7 linked regions of the Rattus norvegicus genome follow. The protein of the gene in region 7 interacts with the protein of the main gene of each other region in a biochemical or structural test. Links are inferred from orthologs where the notes say so. Each region holds a gene or a part of one and is shown on either strand. Other genes may lie near its edges. The genes, in order: Actbl2, Ubqln1, Faf2, Prkaca, Ube2d2, Ube2e1 and Ube3a.

Evidence for each region.
Region 1: the proteins of Ube3a (region 7) and Actbl2 form a complex in vitro, tested with the Homo sapiens proteins (2 studies listed by BioGRID). The link is inferred for Rattus norvegicus from reciprocal best matches to the Homo sapiens genes UBE3A and ACTBL2.
Region 2: the proteins of Ube3a (region 7) and Ubqln1 form a complex in vitro, tested with the Homo sapiens proteins (2 studies listed by BioGRID, with this or other methods). The link is inferred for Rattus norvegicus from reciprocal best matches to the Homo sapiens genes UBE3A and UBQLN1.
Region 3: of the proteins of Ube3a (region 7) and Faf2, one has a biochemical effect on the other in vitro, tested with the Homo sapiens proteins (2 studies listed by BioGRID). The link is inferred for Rattus norvegicus from reciprocal best matches to the Homo sapiens genes UBE3A and FAF2.
Region 4: the proteins of Ube3a (region 7) and Prkaca form a complex in vitro, tested with the Homo sapiens proteins (2 studies listed by BioGRID, with this or other methods). The link is inferred for Rattus norvegicus from reciprocal best matches to the Homo sapiens genes UBE3A and PRKACA.
Region 5: the proteins of Ube3a (region 7) and Ube2d2 form a complex in vitro, tested with the Homo sapiens proteins (12 studies listed by BioGRID, with this or other methods). The link is inferred for Rattus norvegicus from reciprocal best matches to the Homo sapiens genes UBE3A and UBE2D2.
Region 6: the proteins of Ube3a (region 7) and Ube2e1 form a complex in vitro, tested with the Homo sapiens proteins (2 studies listed by BioGRID). The link is inferred for Rattus norvegicus from reciprocal best matches to the Homo sapiens genes UBE3A and UBE2E1.

What each region holds. Positions count from the first base shown.
Region 1 is NC_086020.1:44,589,992-44,594,190, forward strand, and holds Actbl2 (beta-actin-like protein 2), read left to right. Parts: upstream 1-1,399; 5' UTR 1,400-1,520; coding exon 1,521-2,651; 3' UTR 2,652-4,147; downstream 4,148-4,199. UniProt on the Homo sapiens protein: Actins are highly conserved proteins that are involved in various types of cell motility and are ubiquitously expressed in all eukaryotic cells.
Region 2 is NC_086035.1:6,464,940-6,468,439, reverse strand, and holds part of Ubqln1 (ubiquilin-1), read right to left. Parts: intron 1,654-3,500; coding exon 1,391-1,653; intron 51-1,390; coding exon 1-50. UniProt on the Homo sapiens protein: Plays an important role in the regulation of different protein degradation mechanisms and pathways including ubiquitin-proteasome system (UPS), autophagy and endoplasmic reticulum-associated protein degradation (ERAD) pathway.
Region 3 is NC_086035.1:9,963,542-9,967,041, forward strand, and holds part of Faf2 (FAS-associated factor 2), read right to left. Parts: intron 2,323-3,500; coding exon 2,237-2,322; intron 2,155-2,236; coding exon 2,063-2,154; intron 313-2,062; coding exon 135-312; intron 1-134. UniProt on the Homo sapiens protein: Plays an important role in endoplasmic reticulum-associated degradation (ERAD) that mediates ubiquitin-dependent degradation of misfolded endoplasmic reticulum proteins.
Region 4 is NC_086037.1:41,073,190-41,076,689, forward strand, and holds part of Prkaca (cAMP-dependent protein kinase catalytic subunit alpha), read right to left. Parts: exon of another isoform or gene 2,328-3,500; intron 2,322-2,327; coding exon 2,260-2,321; intron 1,907-2,259; coding exon 1,778-1,906; intron 1-1,777.
Region 5 is NC_086036.1:27,636,928-27,641,198, forward strand, and holds the start of Ube2d2 (ubiquitin-conjugating enzyme E2 D2), read left to right. Parts: upstream 1-1,471; 5' UTR 1,472-1,875; coding exon 1,876-1,899; intron 1,900-4,271.
Region 6 is NC_086033.1:9,919,042-9,922,541, reverse strand, and holds part of Ube2e1 (ubiquitin-conjugating enzyme E2 E1), read right to left. Parts: intron 925-3,500; coding exon 792-924; intron 148-791; coding exon 1-147. UniProt on the Homo sapiens protein: Accepts ubiquitin from the E1 complex and catalyzes its covalent attachment to other proteins. Catalyzes the covalent attachment of ISG15 to other proteins. Mediates the selective degradation of short-lived and abnormal proteins.
Region 7 is NC_086019.1:119,204,648-119,208,947, forward strand, and holds the start of Ube3a (ubiquitin-protein ligase E3A), read left to right. Parts: upstream 1-1,500; 5' UTR 1,501-2,006; intron 2,007-2,011; exon of another isoform or gene 2,012-2,097; intron 2,098-2,139; exon of another isoform or gene 2,140-2,537; intron 2,538-4,300. UniProt on the Homo sapiens protein: E3 ubiquitin-protein ligase which accepts ubiquitin from an E2 ubiquitin-conjugating enzyme in the form of a thioester and transfers it to its substrates.

The sequences.
Region 1 (4,199 bases), on a different chromosome or scaffold from region 7:
GATCTGGTTTGAAGCCTCTGTCTTCTGTGACACCATCAATACTGGCTTCTCATCGGGATGCCTCAGAGCTGGCTCACCCACACTCATGCCTCCAGAGCCAGCACCCACTGTCCTGCCCAGTCAAAGAGTAGGACCATCTTCCAAGTATTACAGCCAGCAAGAGGATGGCCCAGCTCTCCCACTCTCATAACCCTGGGTCAGCTTTCCCAACTGCCTTAGGTAGTGGGGGGCAAAGGGGTAGAGAGACAAATAAGTTACCATCCTACTTACCTAACACATTTGCGACTAGAATTTATGAACAATGGTAGCTGATGGTTTCTCACTTCTTCCTGTCCTATGATCATCATGACACACATTTACCAAGGTGTCTGTATTTCTACATTAAACATTAAATTCAAATAAACTTTCTCTGAAGTGATTAGTATATTTTTAAATGAGAAGAAAGCAATATTGTACCAATTGTGTCAAGATGTGTCAATCACAGATGGGCTTGATGTAGTAATAAAATATATGCATCTTGAAAATTCAGTTGTTTAAAAGATCAATATGTACCCAAATATATAATTTAAAACCTTATCTTATCATCTAAGTTGTTTGTTGTGTAACTCAACTAATTTATAAAAATTTATTGTGAATAAAATTATCATAATTTGTATTTTAAAAATAAACCACTCAAAAACATTGGCATTTTGCTTTTGTGCAGTCAACATTAGCACGGGAAACCTATGAACAATGAATGCATAATAATAAACTTGGTTATTAGAAAATATAAATAATATAATGTAGTTATTAGATAGTATGTCAGAAAAATATATAGTGGCTCTCTTTATTGATCCCCTATTGCTTTTACTTGGGCCTGGTGGATTTGAAGTCAATTAAATACTCTACATTTTTCATGGTACAAGTACATTCTGATTAAAGCCATTAGGCCACCCGAGGCCATTCGTTATTTTCTTTCATTAAAATAGCTTCTGTCAAGATGACATCTTATAATAATGGGAAAGAAAAACGTTAAGACAGAATCAGACTCTTCATTTGAATAACATATCAAAACCGAAAGGTCAAAGCGGAGCGCAGTCAGAGTGCATGCTGGAGAGGAGCAGGGACAGCGACTCCGTCTCTAGCTCTGTCTCTTCCCTCTGCATCACACAGTCATCTAGAGACCCCACCAAGCAGACCGGCAGCACTGTGTGGGATGCCTAATTACAGCCCCCTGAGACTTAGCCACTTGGTAGCCAGTTTTCTCTTTATGAAAGAAGGCCTACTAATGATTTCTGTAATTATCATCATTAGTAGTACCTCAAAGGCAGCCCCACCCAGAAATGCTGAGAACTGGTAGGAAAGAACATGGGTGGAGACAGTATGTGCCTTTAAATACCTGGGCTTGAGGTCCAGACTCTCTTCTCTAAGGGCGGTTCTGAAGTGTTCTGAGTATCCATTCTCTGTCTTGCACATCATAGTCTAGAACTCACCTCTATTTAACTTCTGTTCACGCATCTGGAAGATCGCAACCAGCAACCATGGTTGATGATGAGCTGGGTGCCTTGGTAGTAGATAATGGGTCAGGGATGTGCAAGGCGGGTTTTGGGGGTGATGACGCCCCCCGTGCTGTGTTCCCCTCCATGGTAGGGCGTCCACGACACCAAGGGGTCATGGTGGGCATGGGCCAGAAGGACTGTTATGTGGGAGATGAGGCCCAGAGCAAGAGAGGCATCTTGACCCTGAAGTATCCCATTGAACATGGAGTCGTCACCAACTGGGATGACATGGAGAAGATCTGGTACCACACTTTCTACAATGAGCTCCGTGTAGCACCGGATGAGCATCCTATTCTTCTCACCGAGGCACCCCTCAACCCCAAAATCAACCGGGAGAAGATGACTCAGATAATGTTTGAGGCTTTCAACACACCTGCCATGTATGTAGCTATCCAAGCCGTACTGTCCCTCTATGCCTCGGGAAGGACGACAGGTAACGTGATGGATTCTGGGGATGGCGTCACTCACACTGTGCCTATCTATGAAGGCTATGCTCTGCCCCATGGCATTCTACGACTAGATCTGGCAGGCAGAGACCTGACTGATTACCTCATGAAGATCCTGACAGAACGAGGTTATAACTTCACCACCACAGCTGAGAGGGAGATCGTGCGGGATGTCAAAGAAAAGCTGTGCTATGTGGCCCTGGACTTTGAGCAGGAGATGGTCACTGCAGCTGCTTCATCCTCACTTGAAAGAAGCTATGAGCTCCCTGATGGGCAGGTGATCACCATTGGGAACGAACGTTTTCGATGCCCAGAAGCCATTTTCCAGCCTTCCTTTCTAGGTATTGAATCCAGAGGGATCCATGAGACAACCTTCAACTCCATCATGAAGTGTGATGTGGATATTCGCAAGGATTTATATGCCAACACTGTGCTGTCTGGAGGCAGCACCATGTACCCGGGCATTGCCGACAGGATGCAGAAGGAAATCGTAACCTTGGCACCAAGCACCATGAAAATTAAGATCATAGCTCCCCCAGAACGCAAGTATTCAGTTTGGATTGGGGGCTCCATCCTCGCCAGCCTATCCACATTCCAGCAGATGTGGATCAGTAAGCAGGAGTACGATGAAGCCGGTCCTCCTATAGTTCATAGAAAATGCTTCTAAATGAGCTACCAGGTCCCTTTTCCTAGGTCAGAACGATGGTACCCACCTCACCCAGGAAAATTAAGGTAAATCATTTACTTCTTATTGAGCATTAGAGCCAGGAAATCTACATCTCCATGCAAGTATCCAGGGCTCTGTCACAGCTAACCACACTGAGCTTTTTAGCAGCTGAGGGAAATCTGACATCATAATCTGTTTTCTATGCCCGTGAGGCTCAGAGAAATGTGGGCTTGCTTACATGAAAATGGGTGACAAGGAGTAAGGTCATGAGAAAAGAATTTCAGGCTGCATAACCACAATATGCAAGCTTTAGATCTAGTTCTTGCTAAAATGGTCAACAACGCTCTACAGATCTGCAATATAAAAGTCTAGCAACTATGTCTTATTAATTCTCTGTATTTATTTACTTCTTTCTATGGATATAACAAACTACACAGGTCCATCCTCTATATCCACTTATGCATCAGGAAGGTAAAGTATTACATCTTAAGACATAATATGTACTTGGCCGAGCAGCTTCTGTGAATGTTCTTATTCTCTAGCCAACGTTTCAGCAGCTCTGTATTTCAAGGAATTGCCTTATCACATAAGCATAGCTAAACGGTTGCCATTCGATTGGTGTGTATAAATCAAATAAATTCCCAAGTCAAGGTGGAATTCTGTTGGCCAAGTACATCTTAATGACTTAGTTACTGAACTTCATCAGACTCACGAAACAGCAAACCTACCGATGGATGATGCCTAACTGTCTACATAGAAAGATATTGTGATGCCGAGTTCATTTTGTCTGCCACAGGGTGACAAGAATAATTTTATTCATATCTCTTAGCCTAATAATGTGTCTTGAGCAATATCTAAGGGTTGATTCTGGACATTCCTCTTAGGCAAGGACGTCACTATGGGGAATGCAGCACCAGTCTCTTAGCAAACAGTAAGTGGTCGTAGACGTTCAGTAACCTCGAGCAAGTTCTCGGAAAGATTTTATTGTAGCTCTTTACTTTATTACATCCAGTGGCTGGCAACACGTGTTTACCTATGTATCTCTGAGATGACAGTGTCTCAAAAAACATACTAGTGTTTCTTCCTACAATGTTTGAGATGTTTTCATGAATCCAGTGGTGATTTAACAACAAATTTTTAGTATGACCATATCTGCTTCCATTTATGATGTGATTTCTGTATTTGGTTATCAGGGTAATTTGTATTTTTTATGTTTTTATCTAAAAAGTTAAGATATTTATCTGCTTATTTGCTTAAGAAGATACCGTTAGACCAGTGGGAGGGAGGAATATCTTCTTTTTCATATTAGTTTGGAAACTTCTTGTGTTTAAACATGTGAATTTGGAATCTTTAACCAATTTTGATTAAGATAGAACTTTCCAAATAACTTGATTATTCCTTATTTCCTTTATCAGTTGATGTAATTGTTTAATCTGCAAAAGCACTTTATTTTACAAAGCTTGCTTTTCGTTTAATTTCATTAAAGTAAAATGACAACATGCTTGTGTTTTGGATTTCCTGTTATTTCCCTCACTCCTTCCCACGAGA
Region 2 (3,500 bases), on a different chromosome or scaffold from region 7:
TTTCTCATCATTTCCTGCATCATCGCTGGGTTTCTGGCAAGTTCCAATGTCTAAGAAAGAAATTTCCAGTTTTAAAAAAAGGCACTGAAATATTCAAGGAATTCATTCTACATTCAGTCAATGCTTGTGGGAACCCACAATTGACGTGGATTAGCTCCTGCACTGAGTCTCAGGAAACTGAAGGGAGGCACCTGTGCCAAGTGCCAGGCAGCCACACTGAACTTTTAAACTGCTATTTTGAAAAATACGAAACGGGGTGTTCTAGTCACTGAGAGTCAGCACCACAGCTCTGTCAGGACCGAGACTGCCTGGTGCTGCCGGCCTTGGCATCTCCAGTTGTCTACCTGCTGAAGGCCTAACCTCGTTTGCTCAGTTCATGGAAACACGGGTTCTATTTAAAAGGATGAGGTGTCATCCAATTCTAGAATCAAAAAGGCCAATTAAAAGTCTTAAACCAATTTTGCTATATTTAAATTAGTAAAGTACTTCTTAAAATTCCCAGTGGATTTTATCTCTAAATACGACATTTATTTATAGGCTATCACAAAGTAAACAGGCCATTCCAAAAATGGACTTTTAAGTTTCTTAAGTTTCTTAAATCCACAACCCCGACCCCAACCCCACAATTTTTGAGACAAGATTTCTCTATGTAGTCCCTGCTGTTCTAGAACTCACTATGTAGACCAGGATGACCTTAATCAAACTCAGAAGAGATCCTCCTCCCTCTGCCTCCCAAGTGCTGTGTACCACCATACCCAATGGTTTTATTGAAAATTTTTTCATTAAATTTTTCTGATCCCCTCTCCTCAGAACTGTTTTCTGTTTTGTTTTATCTGTGTGAGGAGCAGGGCACTGATATCACCTCTCTAGCCTGCACTCTAGGACCCACCCTTCTCTCCACCCCACAGCACTGAGGAGAAACTGGCACAACAAGCCTATTTTCTAAGGCGGGCTTTAAAGAATTTTCAAGCATAGCAGAACATTCAGAGTTCAAACAAACCAAATTAATATTGTTTTGCTGACTTTCCTTAAACAATGGTTGGGATTCTCTTTAATTTTATAATAAATACACAATTCAATTTCTGGCACCACAGAAAATAACATTTTACACACACACACACACACACACGCACACGCACACACACACAATTTCACACACAGACACACACACACAGAGAATACACACACGCGCACACAGAGTACACACACACATACAGTACACACACACATGCATGCATACACACAATCTCACACACAGAGTACACACACACATACAGTACACACACACACTCACACATGCACGTGCACACAATCACACACATATAGTACACACACACACACACACGCGCGCGCGCGCGCACACAGTACACACACGCCCCTTCCTGCGCACCTGTCGCATTATGTCTGGGTTATTGAGCATGTGACTGATCTCTGGGTTTCTCTGTATCAGCTGCTGCATCTGTGGGTTGGCCATGATCAGCTGCCGCATCAGGTCAGGGTTTGAGAGCATGCTCTGCACAAAGGGGTTTTCCATGATCTGGACCATCATTTCAGGGTTAGACAAAAGTTGCCGCTGCATTTGGCTCTGTAGTTCAGAGAAGTTGGTGGTATTTAAACCCAAGCTACTAAGACCTGCAAGTCCTCCAAGTCCACCTTAAAAGAAAAACAAAAATGGAAATCAGAAGTTTGTGCTAAAATATGAAGAATCATTAACTCTATATTTTAAAAACCATTCAAACGAAACAATTCCTGCCACCCACTTATATGGCGTTATACTCACTATTATACTATCTAATTCCTATGCTGTAGCTTAGATACGAAGTGTTGCCCCTAAGCCTTCATCCTCAGCTGGTGACACATGAAGGTGATCACAACGAGCTCCTCGTAGCTCAGTGGGCTATTCATGCAGTGCATTTGAAGGGACTTCCTGCTGCTACAGATAGGGGACTTTTCTATGTGTATTAGGAAGACGTACTTGTACTCCCAGACTGGACACAAATCTGCATGTGCACCCTAATAGCCTACAACACACACTGCTAATGCTTTGTTCAGAGTCAATCTCACCCACAGCAGAGCAGAAGCTCTTGTTAATATAACCCTGATACCAGCAGACACTAATTATTCTGTTTTAAGAACTGTTTGAACCTAGACACCCCCGGAACAGGGAATGAATGAAAGGGACAGCGGCAGCATAGGAACATTTCGCACAGTCTCAGTTGCTGACCATCTGAGCAGAGGCAAACCTGAGCTCTCAAAAGGTCAGTCACCTGTTTCTGTTCTCCCCAACCCCATATCATTTGCTGGCAGAAGGTTACATGTGGCCTCCCCGGATTACCAGCTCTGAAATAAAGCACAATCTATAAACTTAATCTGCCTCTTCTCATCTGCCTTTGGGGCGGCAGGCAGAAGCTTCGAGACAGTAGCTGCACTGAGAGAAGCAGCGCTCTGCTGTACCCTCCTGGCCCACCAGCTGAGACACCAGGTGCCAAGACAGACTTGCCCCTCCCCCCACTGCTGCTTCACAGTGGACAGCCCCAACCCCAAACACATCCTACAATCAAAATGTGTCAAATTTTCAACTTTAATATGTAATAGAACCAGGGTTGGGGATTTAGTGGTAGAGCGCTTGCCTAGCAAGCGCAAGGCCCTGGGTTTGGTCCTCAGCTCCACAAAACAAACAAACAAACAAAAAATAAAAACAAAAAATGTAGCAGAACCAACCAGACATATTTTTTTAATCTCTCTAGTATAAAACAACATATTTATTCCTTCTTGATCTCTCACAGGGTTCCTAAAAGCCTAGGTGGTCATTTGAGGGCTTTCTTCTGTCTGTCATACACAGGTCACTGCACTGATGAGGTTGGACTGAGGGCGCCCTGGGGAGTGACAGGAAGAGGACGGAGCTGGAGGTCAGAAAGCCTAGTGGATTAAAGGTGAAACCTTCAGCCCCATCCACCAGTCCTGAAGGGGAAGAAAAGCAGCTGGAGGCTCTTCTCTGTGTAAACTAAAACAGCGCTCATTTATTTATCGTCCATCCGTACTGCGTTCTAAACGTGTGCACTATGTATTGGCATACTAGAACTGAGTCACCACAAGGTTTTCATGGAAAGGGTGTGTTCCTAGGATGTGAAAGCGAGACCTAAGGAAAACTGCTAGCTACAGCCTTAGGGCCGGTGAGGACACTGAAGCCCAACCGGTGTCACCTTCAGAACACCTTTTCTCCACAAAATCTCAACAACTGCAAGTGAATAAAGAATAGAGTGTGGGGAGAGGCTCAGTGTGAAGTGCGTGCACAGGATGCGGGAGGGGTACGACGGGGAGGACGCAGGGAGGAGAGGAAAGCGGCTTCACTGCTGATGCTCAGGACACAGTTCTTTCATGTGCTTAGGGCATTTTCAAGATTTTTTTTTAAAGTATTAGAATTAATTATTTATTATTTTGTGTGTATGAATGTTTTGCCTGTGTGTGTTATGGGTACCACATGCATGCCGGTGTCCCCA
Region 3 (3,500 bases), on a different chromosome or scaffold from region 7:
CCGCATTCTGAACTCTCCTTCAACATGAAGCAAAGGCTTTGAAAGTGCCCAAGACAAAGGAAAGTAGTTTGTGGAGCCCCAAGTCAGTTGTCCAAACATCATCTGTCTCTTTCCAGAAAAGAACCCCCTAGTACCTTTCTAGGCGTTCTGACACCAGGTAAGTCTGGTTTGCATCCATAATGAACGTCAACTGGTTGATGAGGTCATCAGGTTGAATGAGGCCTTCGAGCCTTCCTACCACAGTCATTCGCCGGTCCTTCAACATAATCATAGCCAGGAATGGATAGGTGTTCTCTCGTAAAGCCTGGGAGACTGACACAGAGACCCAAGAGATCAAGCATAAGACTTGGGATGCAACAGACCAATCCTCAGACGTATACTCTTGGATGGGAAAAGGGAAGGTGTCATCTCTTCTTTTTCTACTGCTTTCTTTCTTTTGTAATAAGTAACTGATGGAAACACACTTAGAGATTTCTGTCTGTCTTATGTATGTCAGTACTTGTCTCATGGACACTTGAGCATCACATGCATGCACGGTGCCTGTAAAGGCTGGAAGAGCGTCAGACTCCTTGGAACCTGTGAGCTGCCATGTGGGTGCTGGGTAATGAACCTGGGTCTTCTGGAAAAGTGGCCCATGTCTTAACCGCTGAGCCATCACTCCAGTTCCTCTACAGTTGTGTGCAGACATTAGAAGATAGCTTTCTGGGGGGTTGGGGATTTAGCTCAGCGGTAGAGCACTTGCCTAGCAAGCGCAAGGCCCTGGGTTCGGTCCCCAGCTCCGGAAAAAAAAAAAAAAAAAAGATAGCTTTCTAGAGTTGGCCCTCCTCTCCCACCCTTTTGGATAACCAAACTCAGACTCCCATTTCATCAGCCTGGCCTGGTCTCCTCATTTTTTTCTGTCACAAGTGTGTATTCCTGAACTGAGTGAGGTGAGTGCTTAGAGCAGCAGGAGGCTTTTTCGTAAGTTTCCGTCATGCTGGGAAAGGCCTCAAGTTCTAAGACGCTGTCTCCTGAGTGGAAGAGAAGGCTCTGCAAAGACTCTCATGACCGCTTAGGTATAATCTCTCCAAATGTGCAGAGCCAGGGCCACCGGACACAATGCTGCTGTTCTTGGCTGCATGCTGGTGGCCGTGGTTTTCTCACCACATATGTTCCCCGTCTTTTCCTCCTCATCTAACTCCTCCCCTACCTCATTTTCCTAGTCTTTCTTTTCCCTTAGCAAGGGTAGTTTTTCTGCTCCAAGTAAAGTTAAAAAGTTGGTCTATAAATAACCAAAATTTTACTATGATACAATTGCATCTATATTCTTATGCTATGAAAAAGAAATTGTATCCTTTGTGCCATCTATCTGCTAGCCCCACAGAGCCATATTAGAACACAGGCTGCCGAAAAATACCACATGTTCATAAATCAATTAGGAGTAAAGATTTAAAAGACGCAGGAGAAACAGCTACAGTATATTTGGTTCTGAACACCAGGCACTGATGCCTACCTAGGTGTTAGCACATACAGAGGTTGCTAGACAAAACGGCTACAAAATGACTGTATTTTCACCACTGGGTATGTTTGTATTGTCTGATGGTTTCTGAAAACACTGATCTCTAACTAAGAGTTGCTGCCAGAAAGACTGAACTCTCTGTACCCACTGCCAGCGCTCTAGCACTCAACAGCAAACTCATTCCAGAGTTCTGTTGAAAGCCTGGGCAGAGAAGAGGAATGCCTATCAAGAGCCTGTTAAAATTAGACAAAACTGACTTAAAATGAGAGTCTCTGGCAATGGTTAGTTATAAAGAATGGGCCTTAAACTCTGTCTGCCCCAGTCAAACCCCAACCGTATGCTAACTGTATGCCTGGATCTGTCTTAAGCTCTCTGCGATTGTTTCATCCATCTCAAGGAAGAAATAATACAACAGTCATCTCTCAGACTGCTGACAAAATTAAATGACTTCAACTAGCATTGCGTCTACCACAGAACCACCACCTGAGTGACAGCACAGCATGTTTCTCCAGACTTCCCCAAGGATATTCTGACCTCTCACTAAGGCAGCGGAACACAACTTACCCCTGTACCCCTCCGGTTTGTTTGTAGAACAAGCCCAAAAAAGCATCCGGCTGTTTATCAGCGAGATGACCTCAGGTGCGCAGAGAGCATTGCTGTGGAACAAGACAAGACAGCGTGAGAGTAATCTGCCAACTATACAAGTCCGAGAAGAAAGAAAACGACTGGACTACTTACCGGCAGAACTCATCAGAGTCCTGGTGGTCATCCCCATGAAGATAAACCAAAAGAAATCGAAGTTCCCGCTTGGCGTCACTAAGTGCCTTTGAGAGACAAAAGACCACAATTCACTACTAAGATCTAAACTACTGTTCAGGCTAAGGGTCCAGATGAAGGTGACTATTGACCAACATTAGCAACTAGAAAGAGGGGAGGGAAATGGGGTTGCAAGGGAGACGAGACTACATACTTCCCGGGCTGCTGCCTTTGCAGCCACCCTGGCATCGCCCTCCTTACAAAGCCCAAGCCAACAGCGTTAATGAAAAGCCTGTCGTGCTGTTAGACCTTATGCTGCATCAGGCACATGAGGTCGAAGGAGTGACACAAATAACTCCTAACGGTCTCAGAAAGTCAGCTGGTACCATAGTTTAAAGGTAAAACAGGACACTGTGACTATGTAAAAGCAATTTTGCAGCTACAAAATTCTTTCCAATAAAAAATTAGCTACAAAAAGGAGTTGGATCCAGCAAGTGGACAAGCAAGCAGGAAGGACCAGGGCACCCACAGGTACCCTGAAGAGCACAGGGTTCATAAGATCTTCTGAGACAAAGCAAGTGTCCATGAGTCTTGTCACTTAGGAATGGTATGCTCCTAACTGCCTGTAATTCCCAGGATGGCTAATGTACTCTACCCTCAAGGTCACCCAAAGAACAGCTGTCCCCCTCATCCCTGCTATCTGCAGCCCTGAGCAGGGTGTCTAGCTGTGTATAGCAGGTATGCGATGTGTGCTGAGTAGAAAGCAGCAGCCAGCATGAAGATCAACTGTGAGAAAAAGCAGATGTGGGTAAAGCAGAAGCAAGAGTGAGCTGCCTCTCCAGGTAAGAATCAGGAATTCCAGACACTCCATAAGAGCCCCTTTAGCACATGTCTGTGCTATTCTTTACTGTTCTCTGACAAATTCTATATGCCTACAACCCAGTTTTCCTCCCGAAAGGAGACAATGAAAGGTCTCTATGGCTTAGTTTGAATCAAACGAGCTACCCTGGGCCTATGGTCTAAATCCTATTTAGGTCTGTCAGGAATCACAACAAGGTCAGCTTCTGCCTTGAAGGTGTGTACAGTCTGATAACACAGCAAGACGTGAGCACAAGTCAGGTAAGGAGGAAAGTCAAGTTGCTATGAATGTAAAAACAGAGGGTGGAAAACAAAAAGGAAGATCAGTGCTTTTGAAAGCAAGGCAGGGCGAGAGAGGGAAGGAATGGAGTGGTTAGGAGAGGGCAGT
Region 4 (3,500 bases), on a different chromosome or scaffold from region 7:
GGTGGTTCACAACCATCTGTAATGGCATCCGATGCCCTCTTCTGGTGTCTGAAGACAGCTACAGTGTACTCACATACATAAAATATATAAATCTTAGGAGAAAAAAAGGAAATCTGTGTGCTTGTATGAGCATGGGTGTGTACACCATGGTGCACGAGTGGGGACCAGAGGACAACCTCAGATGTTGTTCTTTATCTTCCCTCTGCTTAAGGGCAGGACCTTGTCTGCTGCTGCATCTGACAGGCTGGCTGCCCTTGAGCTCTCAGGAACTGCCTGTCTCTGCCCCATCTCCTAGGAAGAGTGTGATACACGTGGGTGCTACTGTGCTGGGCTGTGTCTGCTCTGGGAATTGAACTCTTCTCTTCATCCTCCAACTCACTAAAGTCTTTTCTTTAAATTCAATTATTTTGTCTGTGTGTGAGTGTGTATGTGTGTATGTGAGTGTATGTGTGTGCATGTGTGTGTGAGTGTATATGTGTATATGTGAGTGTATGTGTACGAGTGTATGTATGTCTGTGTGAATGTGTGTATGTGTGAGTGCGTGTGCGAGCATGTGTATGTGTGTGTGAGTGTTGTGTGAGTGCGTGTGTATGTGTGTATCTGTGTGAATGTGTGTATGTGTGTGCGTGCGTGTGCATGTGTATGTGTATGTGTGCATCTATGTGTGTGTATGTATGTGTATGTGTGTGGGCGTGTGTGTGTGTATGTGTGTGTGAGTGCGTGTGTATGTATCTGTGTGAATGTTTGTGTATGTGTGTGTGTGTGTGTGTGTGCATGTGTGTGTAGGTTTCTGGGGATTGAACTGAGGTCATCACGTGGGGTAGCAAGTGCCTTTAACTCACCCAGCCGTCTCTCCAGTCCTATCTCTACCTGGACCTCATTTTTTGAAACAGGGTCTTTCACTGAACCTGGAACTGGTTATGCTTCTTGGCCAACAGGACACATATACACACAAAGTTTAAACATTTAAAAAAAAAAAAAAAAACCTTCTATGCAGGCCAGGCAGTGGTAGCTTGTGCCTTTACACCCAGCACTTAGGAGCAGGGGCAGGCAGACTTGTGAGTATGAGGCCAGCCTGGGCTACATAGCACTGCACAGGGAAAATTTTTGTCTTGGAAAACAAACAAGCAAGCAAACAAACAACAAAAAAGAACTTCTGTACTTCTTTCTGTGCAAACCTTTTCTGCAGACCACCCTGATCTCTGTCCAGCTGCAGATTAACCACAGGGCTGGCTATGTTGAGGAACGAAGGCCCTTCTCACCCTGGGGTCTGATAGATCGTGGAGCATCAGGGGATATGAAAGTGACTGAGTACCCATGAGGACATGTTCCAAGCCACTGCTGAGCACAGACGGCCAAGTCTGCAGAGCTGTGGCCTGGGTGCACGGTTACTCGCACAGACCCTCACACCCTCTTCCACTTTCTCCCTCTTTTGCAGAGGTGAGGATGGAGTCCAGGGCCCACCCCAGCAGTAGACAGTAACCACTTGTGGATCACTTACAACGCTTAAGGAAGGAAGCACACATCCGTCCCTTACTCTCTGGACTCAGCACAGTCTTTTGCAAGTGGCAAGGCCAAGTTGCCACTGGACCTTTCTAAACCGGCGGACCGGGGAGGCTTCCACTGCTAATGTACAGTGAACTGCATGTATATTCTTGTGGAGCTCTTGGAGCTGCCAGCAGTGAGCGCAGAATAAATGGGCAGAAAAGCAATGTAGGTGGTGGTGGGCTTGGCACGGTGGGCAGAGACAGGAAGGCCTGGCAGCTGGTCATCTTACCTTCTGCTTGTCCAAGATCTTCATGGCATAGTGGTTCCCACTTTCCTTGTGCTTCACGAGCATCACTCGCCCAAAGGAGCCGGTGCCAAGGGTCTTGATTCTATCAAAATGATCCAACTGGGCTGTATTCTGTGGGCAAGGATGGGAGGGGTCAGGGGCACCTCCCTGCAGCCTTCTAAGCTGGGGAGTCCCCTGTGTCACCGGCAGAGGGGGCTCTGGGGAGTGGGTGGAGATGACCCAGGGGACATTCTTCCAGGCAGGGTGGCAGAGGCCAGATCCGGCCCTGGCCTGGGGCCCAGGAGCTGCTGGCAGCTGCATGGGGAGCAGGGGCTGCCAGGTGCAAGGATACAGTGAGTAAGGCCGGGCAATGAGAAGCCCGGGGCACCGTGAGCAGTTAGAGGGAATGGGGCAGGGCTGGGTGGGGCACACAGTGACCAAGCTGGGGACTGTTGCCTGGGTACTACTTACTCTGAGGTGCTCACCTGAGAAGGGGTCTCCCATTTTTTCAGGAAATCTTCCTTGGCTTTGGCTAGGAACTCTTTCACTGAGGGTGAGAGACAAAAGTTAGGTGAAAAGTCCTTGCTTCGAGGCACATTAAGTTTTTCCACTCTAGTAGAAAGTGGGGTACAGCTGTTTCAAGCCAGAATCTGATATTTTACCAATGTCTTTGGGGGATCCCAGAGGCAACCTGGGACATTTTGATTGGACTGGGGCCCAATATTCCACTAATTACAGAGGTATCAGATTCTGGTAACACTCGAAGAGGGTACATAGGCACTTGGGAACACAGGACCGAGAGGCACACAGGCCAGCCCACCCCGCTCTCCCCAGCACTGACTGACATTCCTTGGCCAGGGTTGTACCAGCTGAGGTATTAATAGCCTCTGATCTGGCTGCTCCTCTGTTGAGGCCGGGCCCTAGTGAAAGCCTGCAGGGCTAGTGTAGCAGGTGCCCTTGGTGGGCTCAGCTGTCACCTTGGCCTTTGCTGGCTCTGTGCCTGCCTGTGCTGAGGGGAGAATCCTCGCCTGAGCTGCTTCACTGGGTGCTTCCCTTCAGGCACACTCCTCCCAGGCGCCTACAGCATTCTGAGGCCAGCATCTCAGCTCCTAATGTAGAAGCTGTCCCTGGTGACTGGCTGGGGCACCCATTTCATTCTCTTATTTGATTTGTTTGACCACCTTCTTTACATCTGTTTTAACCACTTAATAACTCAGAAAAATAAGGCCTGAAGACAGTTCACTGTTGTGTGTGGCTATAGAGGCAGCTGGGGTCAGGACTTCAGGGTGGGAACTCAGAGTCTCTGTCTGGATGCTGGCCAGCTGTATGTCTTGGGACAACTCATCTCTCTAGGTCTGTTTTCTCCAGGAGCAAATGGGGATAAAACCATGACGACTTTGTAGGGTGCTGGTGGGACGAGTCCTAATTCCACATTGGCAAAGGAGCTGGGGCAGTGGTCTGGTGCCCTGGTGCCAGGTTTGTGGTATAGAAATGCCAGCCGTTCTTTCTAATGGTCAATCTTAGCCGGCAACTTAACTATATCTGGAATCAGCTAAAACCCCAGCAGTCAGGCATACTGGTGAGGGGTTTTCTCAATTGGATTATTTGAGATGGGAAGACCAGCCCTAAATCTGGGCCATACCCCCTGGTGACAGCCCACATAAAAGGCCATGGAAGAAGGCAACTTTGCCCTTTGCCTACTTGCCCTCACTCGCACTGGCACTAG
Region 5 (4,271 bases), on a different chromosome or scaffold from region 7:
ATGGCTCAGTTGTTAAGAGCACCGACTGCTCTTCCCAAGGTCCTGAGTTCAAATCCCAGCAACCACATGGTGGCTCACAACCATCTGAAACAAGTCTGATGCCCTCTTCTGGTGTGTCTGAAGATAGCAACAGTGTAATCATAATATATAATAAATAAATAAAATATTTAACAAAAAAAAGAAAACAACTATTTTATTTTTATGTATGTATTTCTCTGAGTGCACATGAGTACAGAGGCCATAGGTGTTGGAAACCCTAGGGCTGGAGTCACAGGTAATTTTAATTCTGAGGTGGGTGCTGGAAACCAACCTCTTATCCTCTGCAAGAGCAATGTGTACCGTTAACCATTGAACAATCTCTCTTGTACCTAGAAACAGCATTTTAAAAAAAAAGTTTCCCGAAATGGGCTCAGTAAAATACATGTCATCTTTTTTGAAGTTACATTCGTGAGGGTAAGTACTGCCTGCGTGTGTACCTGTGCTTGGATGCGGAGGTCACGGGATAACTTGGAATAGGTTCTCTCCTTTCCTCAAGTCGGTCTCAGGGATCCAACTCAGGTCACCAGGCTCAGCAGCAAACACCATCACCCACAAAGCTATAGACAACTCCTATTTTGCTTTTTAAGTACAAAAATGTCATCATCACGAAAAAAATTACAAATCAGACATGAAGGCATTTTTGTGCCTCTTTCTTCACATTTCAAAAAGACTTGGGCCTACATAATGTCCCTCCTCATACAGAACCTCTAACTTACAGATTCTGTGTGACTGACTAACTAAGGTTTTTGCCTTTGGGGGTCCACCTCTCTAAGGAGAGGTGATCGACTTTGCCACTTGTTATGAAACCTTGCCAAAAATCCTTTTTGTATTTCTTCATTCTACACGGCCTATTTCCTAACGCTAACAAGTCAGTGGTTGCGTATATAACATTCGAGTCATGTCCAGCTGAGGTCTTTTTTTGCGGGGGACGGGCAGTCTCAGGGCTCCCTGTGCAAGCAAGTTCTAGGACCCTCTTTTTTGGGTGGCAGTGAGGCTGAAGAGTTGTGTGACCTTAGAAAAGTCCCTTTCTTTTTCAGGAAAGTGACAGTCGGATTAGTTACTTCCAAGTCTGATGGTGATTAAACAATGTGGAAAACCCGTGCCTTTAAGCGTTTCTCGTTCTTTGAAGGCGCAGGCACACAGGGTACCAGAAGCTGACTTCAGGCCTTGGCGGGAGGAGGGGGCGTCTAGAACCCGCGCCTAAACTCTCGCGAGATCTCCTGCCTCGCGACGTCATCCCCTCTGCGGCTGTGCCTGCGCCGGCGCCTGCGCAGGCGCGTACGGTACTGGCAGGGGCGGCCCGTATCCCTCCGCCGCCGGCGCGGCCCGGCCCTCCCTCCCAGGCCCGCCAATCCCGGAGCCTCCCGACCTGTCCCTCGGTCTGGGCCCACCCCGCGCTCCGGCAGCCCCACCCCGGCGGCGCCGCCCGCCCGCGCGTCCCTTAGTCCACCTGCACCAGGCAGGAAAGCAGGCTTCCCTGGCTTCGCCACCGTAAGTCGCTCGGCGATCCTGGAGCTTGGGGCTCTTCCTCCCAGGCGGAGGGATCCACGGCAGCCGAGGAGGCGGCGCTGAGCCTACGAGGAAGAGGCAGGCTACGGCGGCGGCGGCTGTGGCAGCAGCGCATAAAGGGGCCGCCGCCGGGTGATGCGGTGACCGCTGCGGCAGGCCCAGAAGCTGAGTGGGCCTCGGCCCTCAGCTCGTCGTATCCGCGCTCCGGAGCTCCCCGTTCTCCGGTCGACTCGCGACCGCTCGGGCGGTCTCAAGCCCCTTAGCCCCTTCCCCGTCCCTCCCCCGTCCCCGTCCCCGCCCCGGGGCCAGCCGCCACCGTTTCCCACCATGGCTCTGAAGAGAATCCACAAGGTAAGCGGCCAGGGGTTTACTGTGGGAATGGGCCGCTGGGCGGGCCCGCTGAATAGGCTGCGGCCTGCACTTCCCGCGGTCGCCTCCACTGGGCTCGCGGCGTCTGGTTCCTTCTGCCGGCGCCGGCCCCAGGGGGCGGCCTTCACACCCCACTCCCAGAGATGGCGCCCAGGGAGGCCCGGGCACGGGGCCCTTGCTTAGGCCGAAGTTGCTCTTGTCTTCGCAGCCTTCATCCCCGACGCCCTTCCAGGCCTCCCTTCAGCCTGAGACTTGATGCTCTCTGGGGCTATTGTCCGGCCGAGAAAGGACTTGGGGCGGCGTAGGGCGGGTGGGGGGCAGGGGTGGAGCGGCTGGTAGTTGGGCGGCCCTGTGATCCGAGGTCGATAGGACTGCTCGCCCAGTCCGTCCCCCTACTCTGGCGCCCTTCAAGAGCTGCCTGAGATCGAGGACATAGTCAGGCCGACCAGAGGGCCCATTTGCTCGATCCACGAATGTTCTTTTGAGTTCACTTAACTCTGGGTCAGCTAGCTGGTCACGAAAGTCCACCTTACTGGTCTAGAAAGTGGAGTAGGAAGTCCGAGGTAAGAAAATGCCACTCGGGGAGAGGAGGGAATTAAGTGGAGAAGGGTTTTATTCCTTGGGATTGGTGTATGTCTTCAGAAACTAACCCTTCAGTTTTGCAGGATTGGATCTAGTGGAACAACTGGTAGACAGTAGAAGCCATTCGGTTCAGAAAAAAACCGAACTTTGAAAACCGCCAGAGAAATCCCTTTCACAGATTTCTCCCAAAATGATTTTAATGCTGAAATTAGATGCAATGTTCGAGAAGACTCCCCGATTTAGAAGGGATTTTGCTCTATTTTTGGTTAGAAATAATTTCTTAACTCTTTTAAGTGAAAGGTTATCCATTTATTTAATAAATAATGAGATTTAACACTGTGGAGAGCATTGACTTCGATTCAAATTTAGGGCACCCTGATGTTAACTTCTTAGTATCACTTAGTGATACTTTTCTTTCCTCTTGGAAATAGGAAGTTACCCCCTGATGAGTTTTGCTTGGTGTTTTATTTGGCTCCTCAGATGGGCTATATTAAATCATTATCATATGAGTAAGTGGCTGGACCTGGGATTACCCCTAACGACCGGTGGGATAAGAATGCAAAAGAATGGAGGATGAAGTAAACACAGAATGACGAGTAGACTGTTCAGTAACTGGTCCTCATTTATTCTTCATTCAAGACCTTGTGGAATTAATTCCTTTCCTTACTGTGAATTAGCATCTTACAACTTTTGTTTTCTTTGATTTCTTAGAACTCAAAGGGCAGACTTTAGATAGTAAATCTTGTACTAAAATGAAGGGCCATTGCTCAAGTTTGAACTTTAACGAAAGAAAAACAGTGTAAGGGATAAGAACAAAGTAAAAGATAAACATCCAAGTAACATGTATATATATATTTCTAAGACTTTAGTAGTCTTTATGGAGTCTAATTGAAAGTTACCAGTTTGAATAGTGTTGAGTTAGACCTGTAAAGAATGCCTACCAAAGATGGGGAAAGGGGAGTTTGGTTTGTGATAATTTGTAGAGATACTTCTTTTTTAAAAGGTAGAGTCTCACTAGCTCTGGCTGGCTTGGAACTTTTAACTCTGGCTGCCCTCAACTCCAAGACCCACTTGCCTCTGTCTTTGGAGTGCTGAGATTATACCATCAAGTTAATAGCTTTTAGTGTTTATATTAATATCTGTGCTATACAGACTTCTTCAGAGATGACACTGACTCAAAACATACATTTAAATCTTAGAATAACATTTGTCCTCCTAATATAGTTTCTGTTGCTGTGTTTTGTTTTGTTTTCTCTTCTCTGTGTAACAGCTCTGGCTGTGTGCTGGTCTCAAACTCTCAAATCTGCTTGCCCCTCTGCCTTCCCAGTGCCAGGAGTAAGTGTGTGCATCACCACAGCCTTCTCCTGTTGCTGTTTTTGAGTTAGGCTGTCACTGCTGGTATTGGTCCTGAGTCCTGGGATTCAGGCATGTACCACCACCACCATACCTGCCTTCACATCTTTTTGTATAGTACTAGGGATTGAATCCAAGATCTTACACATGCTAAGGCAAACGCTCTACTCCTGAACAATATCCTTAGTTCTTGTAAATCTTTTTTTAAAAATCAGGTTTAAAAATGATCATTTGACCTTAAAATTGTGTGTGTGTGTGTGTGTGTGTGTGTGTGTGTGTGTGTGTGTGTGTTTCAACCACAGCCCTCATGGGAATGTGAGGATAACTTGGTAAAGTCTCTCCTTTGACCTTTCTATGGGTCCTAGAGATTGAACTTGGGTTATCCGGTTTGCCTTTACCAACTGAACCATCTATATATA
Region 6 (3,500 bases), on a different chromosome or scaffold from region 7:
AGGATTGCAGTCTGTAAGGAGTGAGCAGATAGAGAGGAGGACTTTCGAGATGGTTAGTGCTGGGCTCCAGTTGTCTTTCAATATGTCCAAGCAGATAACTCCTTGGCTATTAATATTACAGTGATAAATTCTTGTACGAAACGTAACCTAAAAGTAAGGCAGTTGTTAAGCAGCATCAGGTAGGGGCATTAGGACACTTCAGGCTAACCCCTCCATCTCACTCTACAGCAGTGACCACTGCTCGAGGCGAACAGTCCACACTTCCTCCCTTCTCCATCAGGCCATCCTGGTGCCGTGTACCCCACACTAGCTGCAAACTTTTGATCCTCCCCTCTGCTTCTGCTTCCAGACTGTAGGATGACATATGTGTGACTAGTAGCATCTGGCTTAGTTTTAATGTTTAGACATCAATAGGTCTAAGTTGTTGGTTGTCTGCTGGCCTCTTGTGTTAGCTGGAAGGAACACACTGCTCCGGAGTCATTAAGTCTAAGAAGCTATAAACAGCAATCTTAAGTACTTACCCTGGAAATGCCTATGACCAATCACCAGTCATCACATTCACTTACACTAGCAAACACTGCACAGCAGGAAGCTAAGCTCTTCCGACCTACACAGCAGATCTAGACTGCACCGCAGTCCACACAGCTCTTCCAACATGGAGGGGACTGGGTAAGGAGGCGTCAGTGGCCAGCAGCACACACGTGGAAGAAATCTGGCTTTTGTGAGTACATTGAAAACTTTAATCTTTCTCAAGGACAGTTAAATGTGAGAAGACACAGGAGACTCCTTACCTTTGGAGGCTTGAAGGGATACTCTGGTGTAAAAGTGATGTCGAGGAAGAAGACTCCACCTTCATACACAGACCCTGGAGGCCCCAGAATGGTTGATCTCCACTCATAGATGTTGTCACCTTTGGGACCAGCACTGTGAAGTAACACACGAGCAGATAGATAAAGACATGGTGATGCTGGACCAGAAAAGGAAAAAACCCCTTCCCCTCATCCTTTGAGTTTAATGTCTGGTTCTCTTCATAAGGAGATTTTGGTATAAAGACATTGTCCACCAGTCAAGTAAGCCATGACAGAACACCAGGTCCACTCTAAACACACTAGCTACAGCTGGACACACTTTCCTCAACTCTCAGACGTAGTACGGGAAACAACAATAAAGATCCGTGTCTCGGAAGCTAAGCTGCTGGCTACTCTGCTCTGAAGAAACTCAGGACAAGTCTCACTCAGTAACCGGCTCCTGCCAGCGCTTCTCACCAGGCCCCATGCTAACCACCTCCCCCATCTTCTCGCCATTGCTCAGCTATCTTGGCTATGGCTCCTTTGGTCCACACCTCCGGTTTCCCTCTTGGTCAGCTCGCCCCACCTTCCTTCTTTCCTTCCTCCCCATCCAGTCTGCTAGTTAGGTTCAGTCTGGACTTCCCAGATGTCTCTGCCTGTTCTCACCTCTTATCTACAATAAGACCTCCTCCTCAACCATACCTAGGAGTGATCATGTCCTCATTTTTGACTCAGTGACAAGTTTTCTCATGGCTACATCATTTCTTAGAACCTTTTAAGTAACCAGAATCTTTTCCTTAATTAAAGTGCTTAGCAAAGTTTGGACCCTGGTGATGCTGATAAATTCTACACAAAGACGTACAGCATTGATTTCCAGCCTCCTCGTGTACACATGTGGACACAAACACACACACTCAAAACTGCTTTAGCTATAGATCACGTTACACTCCTCCACTTCTGGTCCCCTGAGACAGAGTAGCTCGGACTGTCTTGAAAGTCACAGTCCTCATTCAGCTCCCATGAATGCTGGGTCATGGGTCATTCCAAGTTGGTGACTATACTTCTTACCTTATAAAAACTGAGTGAGAGGGGAATGTCAAGTCCGTAATCCGTTCTCACTCAGTGTTAGACATGGACTCTTACTAGCCATTAACCAAACCCGTTCTTGTTAAACATACTTGGTTGTACCTTCATTTGGCTACATCATCCTTCTAAAACATGGCATTGGCTTCCACTGCTCTGTATTCAAGCACCTTAGCAACAGAGTGAAAAAGCTTACCCTCCGATTCTGAGACCTAGAGAGTATAATGCTTTCTTTATAATCACAAGGTGTAGTACAGGGAAAGATTAAAAGATGATTTACTTCTATTTATGTAGTGAGAGAGTGAGTAAGTGAGTGAGAGTGTGTGTGTGTGCACTCATGCATGCCCCCCGCCCCCCAGCACACACTGCCTGATCTTAGAAGTTAGAAGAGGGCATGAGATCCCCTGGAGCTGGAGTGACATGTGGTTGCGAGTAGCTTGACACAGATGCTGGAAACTGACTGAATCCTCTGCAGGAGAATCGGGTGCTCTTAAGTGCTGAGCTATCTCTCCAGCCTCCAACAATATCTTAACCAGCCCTATCCTAGGAATAGACTCTGACTCCTCTGGAAAAAGATGTTACCTTTACTGCTTCATTTACTAAGAACAGAATGGGTTCTCAATTATCAAAGGTTAGCTTGTTTGTGTCCCCTGCTTAACCTACAGTAGGATGGTGACTAGAAGGGAGATTGGGCCCTTGGGGACAGTTACGTCAAGAAGTCATATATGAGCTTAGTGTCTTAAAACAGACCTCACCACCAGAATGTTAGCTTCTTACCTGCCCCCTGAGGATAGTGAAACAAGACATCTGTCTGGAAATTAAGAAATGTTCCTCACTACACTAATACTGTTAGCACTTAGGTCTTGGATGCCTCATCCCAAACTGATAGAGGAAAGCTAAGCCCTTTAAAATGCAGTCAACACCATTCCAAACTGCCATCTAGAACTATTCTTTGTCAGGCTGGCAAGACTGAAGAGTCAATGTGGTGGACAGAACCCACTTTCCATGCACATGCGGACCAAGCTGTCCTTGAACTTGGAGACCCATCTATCTCTACCTCCAGAGCGCTGGGACTGAAGTCAGGAGCCACCGCACCCAACATTACACTTAAAAAAAATCAAGAACACAATTATCTGTTTAAGAAAAACACTGAGCTCCTAGGGTTGAAAAAAGGACTGTGAAAGTAGACAGGTAGACATCAGCAGGAAGTGAGAGTAGAGAAAAGGGCCCTGATATCCATGTTTCAAAACAGAGCCCAAGCAATTTCTGACATTCGTGATCTGATTGCTACTCCATAAAAGTGAAGACTCAGTCCCCCAAGAGCAAGACTGCGAAGACTGCCAGGGCCAGAGGCCAGCCTCAGACCTTCCCCAGCTCTGAGGTCACTTCTGGATTGTTACAGCTGGGATGGAGGGCACTCTAGTGCCTGGCAGGTAGAGGTCAGGGATGCACTAACCACCCTGAAGTGCACTTGACAAAGCACAACGCATATTAAACCAGCCGCAGATCCCAGCAGTCCTGAGGCTGGGAAGCCCTGCCTTGGATTCTTGAATAATGTTGGTCAGGGAGTAGAGACAATTGTGAGCACAGCTCAAGTCAAGCTTAGAAAGGATAAATGGTTTTAGCTGA
Region 7 (4,300 bases):
ACGATCTCCGTATAGAACTTGATTGGCATTTGGATATCTATATCCTTCAAACTTTTAAGCTTTTTAGAACTCTGCGGTGTTGGCTATATTTTGACAATTCACATTACTTACTAGAAAATTTCCTTTTTTTCCCAGACAACTTCTATTTAGAAGTGAATAGCTGAAAGCATCTTTCCGCTGCAATACTTTACTTTTCTTAGTAGTCTAATGATCTTCGTTTTGGTTTTGTATTTTAATAATTTGCAAAGATAACTCTTTAAAAGGTTACATTTGTTACTAGCTCTTTTCATATAATACAATGGTATTCCAAATGAGGATTTTTAATGAAGAAAAAAAAATAAGAATAGAAAAATTTTAAAGTATCTTACAATCTGACTGAACAGTTGCACTTATTTTTCGTGCAATAGTTTACACCTCCTGCCCCTGCTTATTTTTTAAGTTTTAAAAAATAGCAAGCCTTTAATCCCATCATTCAGAAAGCAGAAGCAGGTGAATTTCTGAATTGAAGGCCAGAATGGTCTACAGAGTGGGCTCCAGAACAGCCAGGGCTTCAGAGAGAAATTGTTTTGAAAAACAAAGAAACAAACAAACAAAAAAACCCAAAAATAGCTGTTTATAGTGGGGAGATGTATATGTATCCATTTATAGGAGTTGCAAGAAACAGAAAAGCACATTGCTACATGTGATTGTTACATTTTGAGTACTAGATGATTAAGGCTTACAAAGTTGCAAGCCAGAAAATAACGTGTCAGCCAGTCTGTAATAATTTGAGTGTCAAAACCATTAACAACAACAACAACAACAGCAAAAAACCTAAGTAAACCATCACTTTGGTACCAAGAAGTCACATGGCTCTAAAAGAGTTCAGGTCTTCTGCATATCAAAATTAGTCTCTATCCATGTGGGATCAAGCAGGGATTCACTCAGTTGACAATCTACTGGAAGACACCACTGGTTAGGCTTTTACCTACTAGTTTGGTAAACCAGTGACAAATCCTGTCCTGGCAGAGGCCTAAGCGGATGACCTTGTTTACTGGAAGGTTGCTCACTCTCGGGTTCCTGCAAAAAAGTCGTAGGGGTCAGCCATAACAACTAAATACTTCTAAGGTTCTTTATTCTGCCAGTAGGCAATACCCTCTCAGCCTATTCGACCCTCTGACTCCGAGGCTATCCTCGGCTGGCTAGCCCTGTCAGCTCTCCCGAGTACACCGAAGACAATGGTCTATAGATTGGGTAAAAGGAGCATAGGCTAAAAACACCAAGCCTCTCTCAGCCCTGTCTCAAGATGGCGACCGTGCTGGCCAGCTTCCACCTAGCCCAAAGCCATCTCCCTTTCCCAAAGGCACCCGCGCCAAGAGCGAAGGCGAACTAGAGTAGGGCCCTGCAGAGATGCAATCCGGGCGGGGCGGAGACAGTCGTCGTCCCACGCACGCGCGAGCTCGCCTAGTCTCCCGCCTCCGGACTTGGAGCCCTCCGCCGGCAGGGTGGCGCGCGCTGCCTGTCGGGATACTCGGTCCGCCCACCTAGTCTTCTCGTCCTCGTTCGCGAGATCCGTGTTTCTCCCAAGATGGTGGCGCTCCTCTTTGGGTGACTACAGGAGACGACAGGGCCTTTCGTCTTCGCAAGTACCTCGCCGCCCCTCCTGCGTTCGCTCGCGCACCGGGCCACGCAGCTGTTCACCGCCTCATCACGACTCTCCTCGTTCGACCAGTCGCGGACGGTGGCGCCTCCTTCTGCTTCTCTTCGGAGTTGCTCGCCACCCTCGCCCCCCACCGTGGACAGATCGCGGCAGCAGCCGTTCAGCGCCGACTTCAAGGTTGCCCAGGCGCCCGGCCTCCCGGCCTCAGTTTCCTGAGGAGAAGCGCGGGTCCCGCATGAGACCCGGCGGTGGCGCCAGCGAAAGGGAACGAGGCGGTGGCGGGCGGCGGCGGTGGACGAGGGCGACAAGGACCAGTGAGGCGGCCGCAGCTGCGAGGGCCGCAGCCCACGCGCGGGGGCGAGGACAGGTCAGTGCTGCTGCGGCCGCGGCCTGCCCGGCGCGCTCCCTCTGGTCTGTACCGCCGGTCCCCTCGTCACCCTCCAGGCCGCGCTGACAGGGTAGGCGCCTGGGCCCTCACCCGCCTCCGTGAGCGAGTGCTTGGGCGCGTGGTCTGGAGGGGCCGGTGCCAGGACTAGGCCCTGGTGGCTGCGGCTGCTGCAGCCTTAACTGTCAGTGCTGGCTGAGCGCAAGAGGGAGGGTTTTGTCACCCGCGGGTACCCGAGTGGGCCCGGGGTGGGGCGGACGTGCAGGGCGTCGAGATTGGGGCCTCATCTAAGCAGGGATCGGAGAGCCAGCCGTGGCTTCAGGCTGCAAAAGGAAGTCCTTTTCCTCCAAAGGGGCGCTCTGGTGGGGAAGACATATTTAGAAGTGTGCTTAGTGGGTTGGGGTATTGTAGGGGGTGGATTGGAAGGAAGACGGATGAAGCGGCACATCAAGCCCAAGGATTGCGCTGTGGTTTTATTCGTGTGCTGCGTCTGGTAGGATTCAGTAGTTGAACGTGAGTTACTGGATTCCTCAGAAACTGCTGTGTTAATTTTAAATGCAAACCTGTAAGCAGTTGGTCTCCTCCTCTTCTCCCCTCCCCCTTTTCAGTTGAGAAAATGAAAAGGACGTTTTCCCCATTTTGATGCGGAGGCTTTTTGTTGGAAGAGTCAGAGTTGAATGTGCTATAATTGCGTTAGCCTTAAAAATAAAAAATATAATTTTAATAAGACTTTTTCACATTTAGAATCCTCTAAAGACAATTTTACGTCAATTTTTTTTTATGTCTTTTGAGGATACTGAAATAGACAAAATCTCTTTGGGTTTGTATTAAGTAGCTAGTGTACTGTTGCAAATGTTAACCAAATAGTATATGGGATGTGTGATCCACAATTATCTAATGTCGCAAAGGATGTTCGTATAACCCAGGGTTTTGGGAGAAGCAGCAGATTATGTTAAAATGCTTTGGAGAAGGAAGTGCGTTTGAAATGAAGATGGCCTGAACTTTAAGAAATATAGCTGTGGGGCAGGGGGTGGGGGAGAAATATAGCTGTTAAAAAGCTAAATATTCAAAGACCTAGTAAATCTTGTTGGACAAGTGACATGACAAGTGTTTTTTTTTTTTTTTTTGTTTTTTGTTTTTGTTTGTTTTTTGTTTTTTTTTTGTCACATCCCAGATTAGTGACTACTTTTACTTAAGATTTTTTTTTTTTTTGGTAAATCATGCAGATTTAGATTTTAGGAGAGATAAAAGGAAAATTTTGTCTTGTTATGTATGACAGAAACTGCTTTAGTATTAAATTCTCTTAAGTAGAATCTGCTTACTGCACTTTTAAGGGAATGGATATTGCATCTGTATTGCTGATAAGCCTAAGTATGACTGTAAATCCATAGATACTTAGCATTACAAAAAAGCCATGTATCAAAATCTGTAATAAAAATGAGAACTTCATCAATTTGCAGTCTATATTTTAAGAAAGATACAACACATAATAAAGATGAGATGACTTGTAGCTTTGTTTTCAGAATCAGAATGTAAGTAAGCTGTGAAGTATTTGTGTCAATATTTACCTTGCATTGGTGTGTTGTGGAGTGGTATACACACGTAATTCTTTGGGTATTGCTCCTCATATACCTGAGGAGCTTAACCATGAGTTTAAAAAAAAAAAAATCCCTTTTGCATGCAGGTTTTGTAGGTGGCTTTTTTTAATCTCTGAAATATCCACCATCACCATTTTTTCGTTCTTTTTTTTTTTTTTTGTTGAAAGGGTCTTAATGGTACTCCACTGGATGACCTGTAACTTTCCTCTTGGCTTTGTCTCCAGGGTTCTGCAATTAAAACTGTATACCACCAGGACTGGCTACTTGCCCTTTTTATGGCTTTAAATAGAAAATGTAATTTTCATCTGAGACTAATTTCTCTGACATGTTAATTTTATTCAGTTGTATATCTTAAACATTTATGTCAATCTCTCTTCCCTCAAAAATTGCTGTAATCGTTTCTCTCAATTTTTATCAACTTTTTTTTTTCCATTGGGCATAGCTAATTTTTTTCTGTTCAAGGGCTTAAGATGATTTTTTCAAATGTCCTTTAAAAAAATAAAACCTTAAATGGTTACTGGTATATTACCATTTATTCTACTTAGGTTTATGTTTGTTATTAATGATAAAATTACTGTTAATGGATTTATATTACATGTATATGCAGCTATTAAAACATCAAGTGTTCTGATTTTTGCAACTGGGTTTGAATTTTAACCGATGGTCTTCTAAGTACTT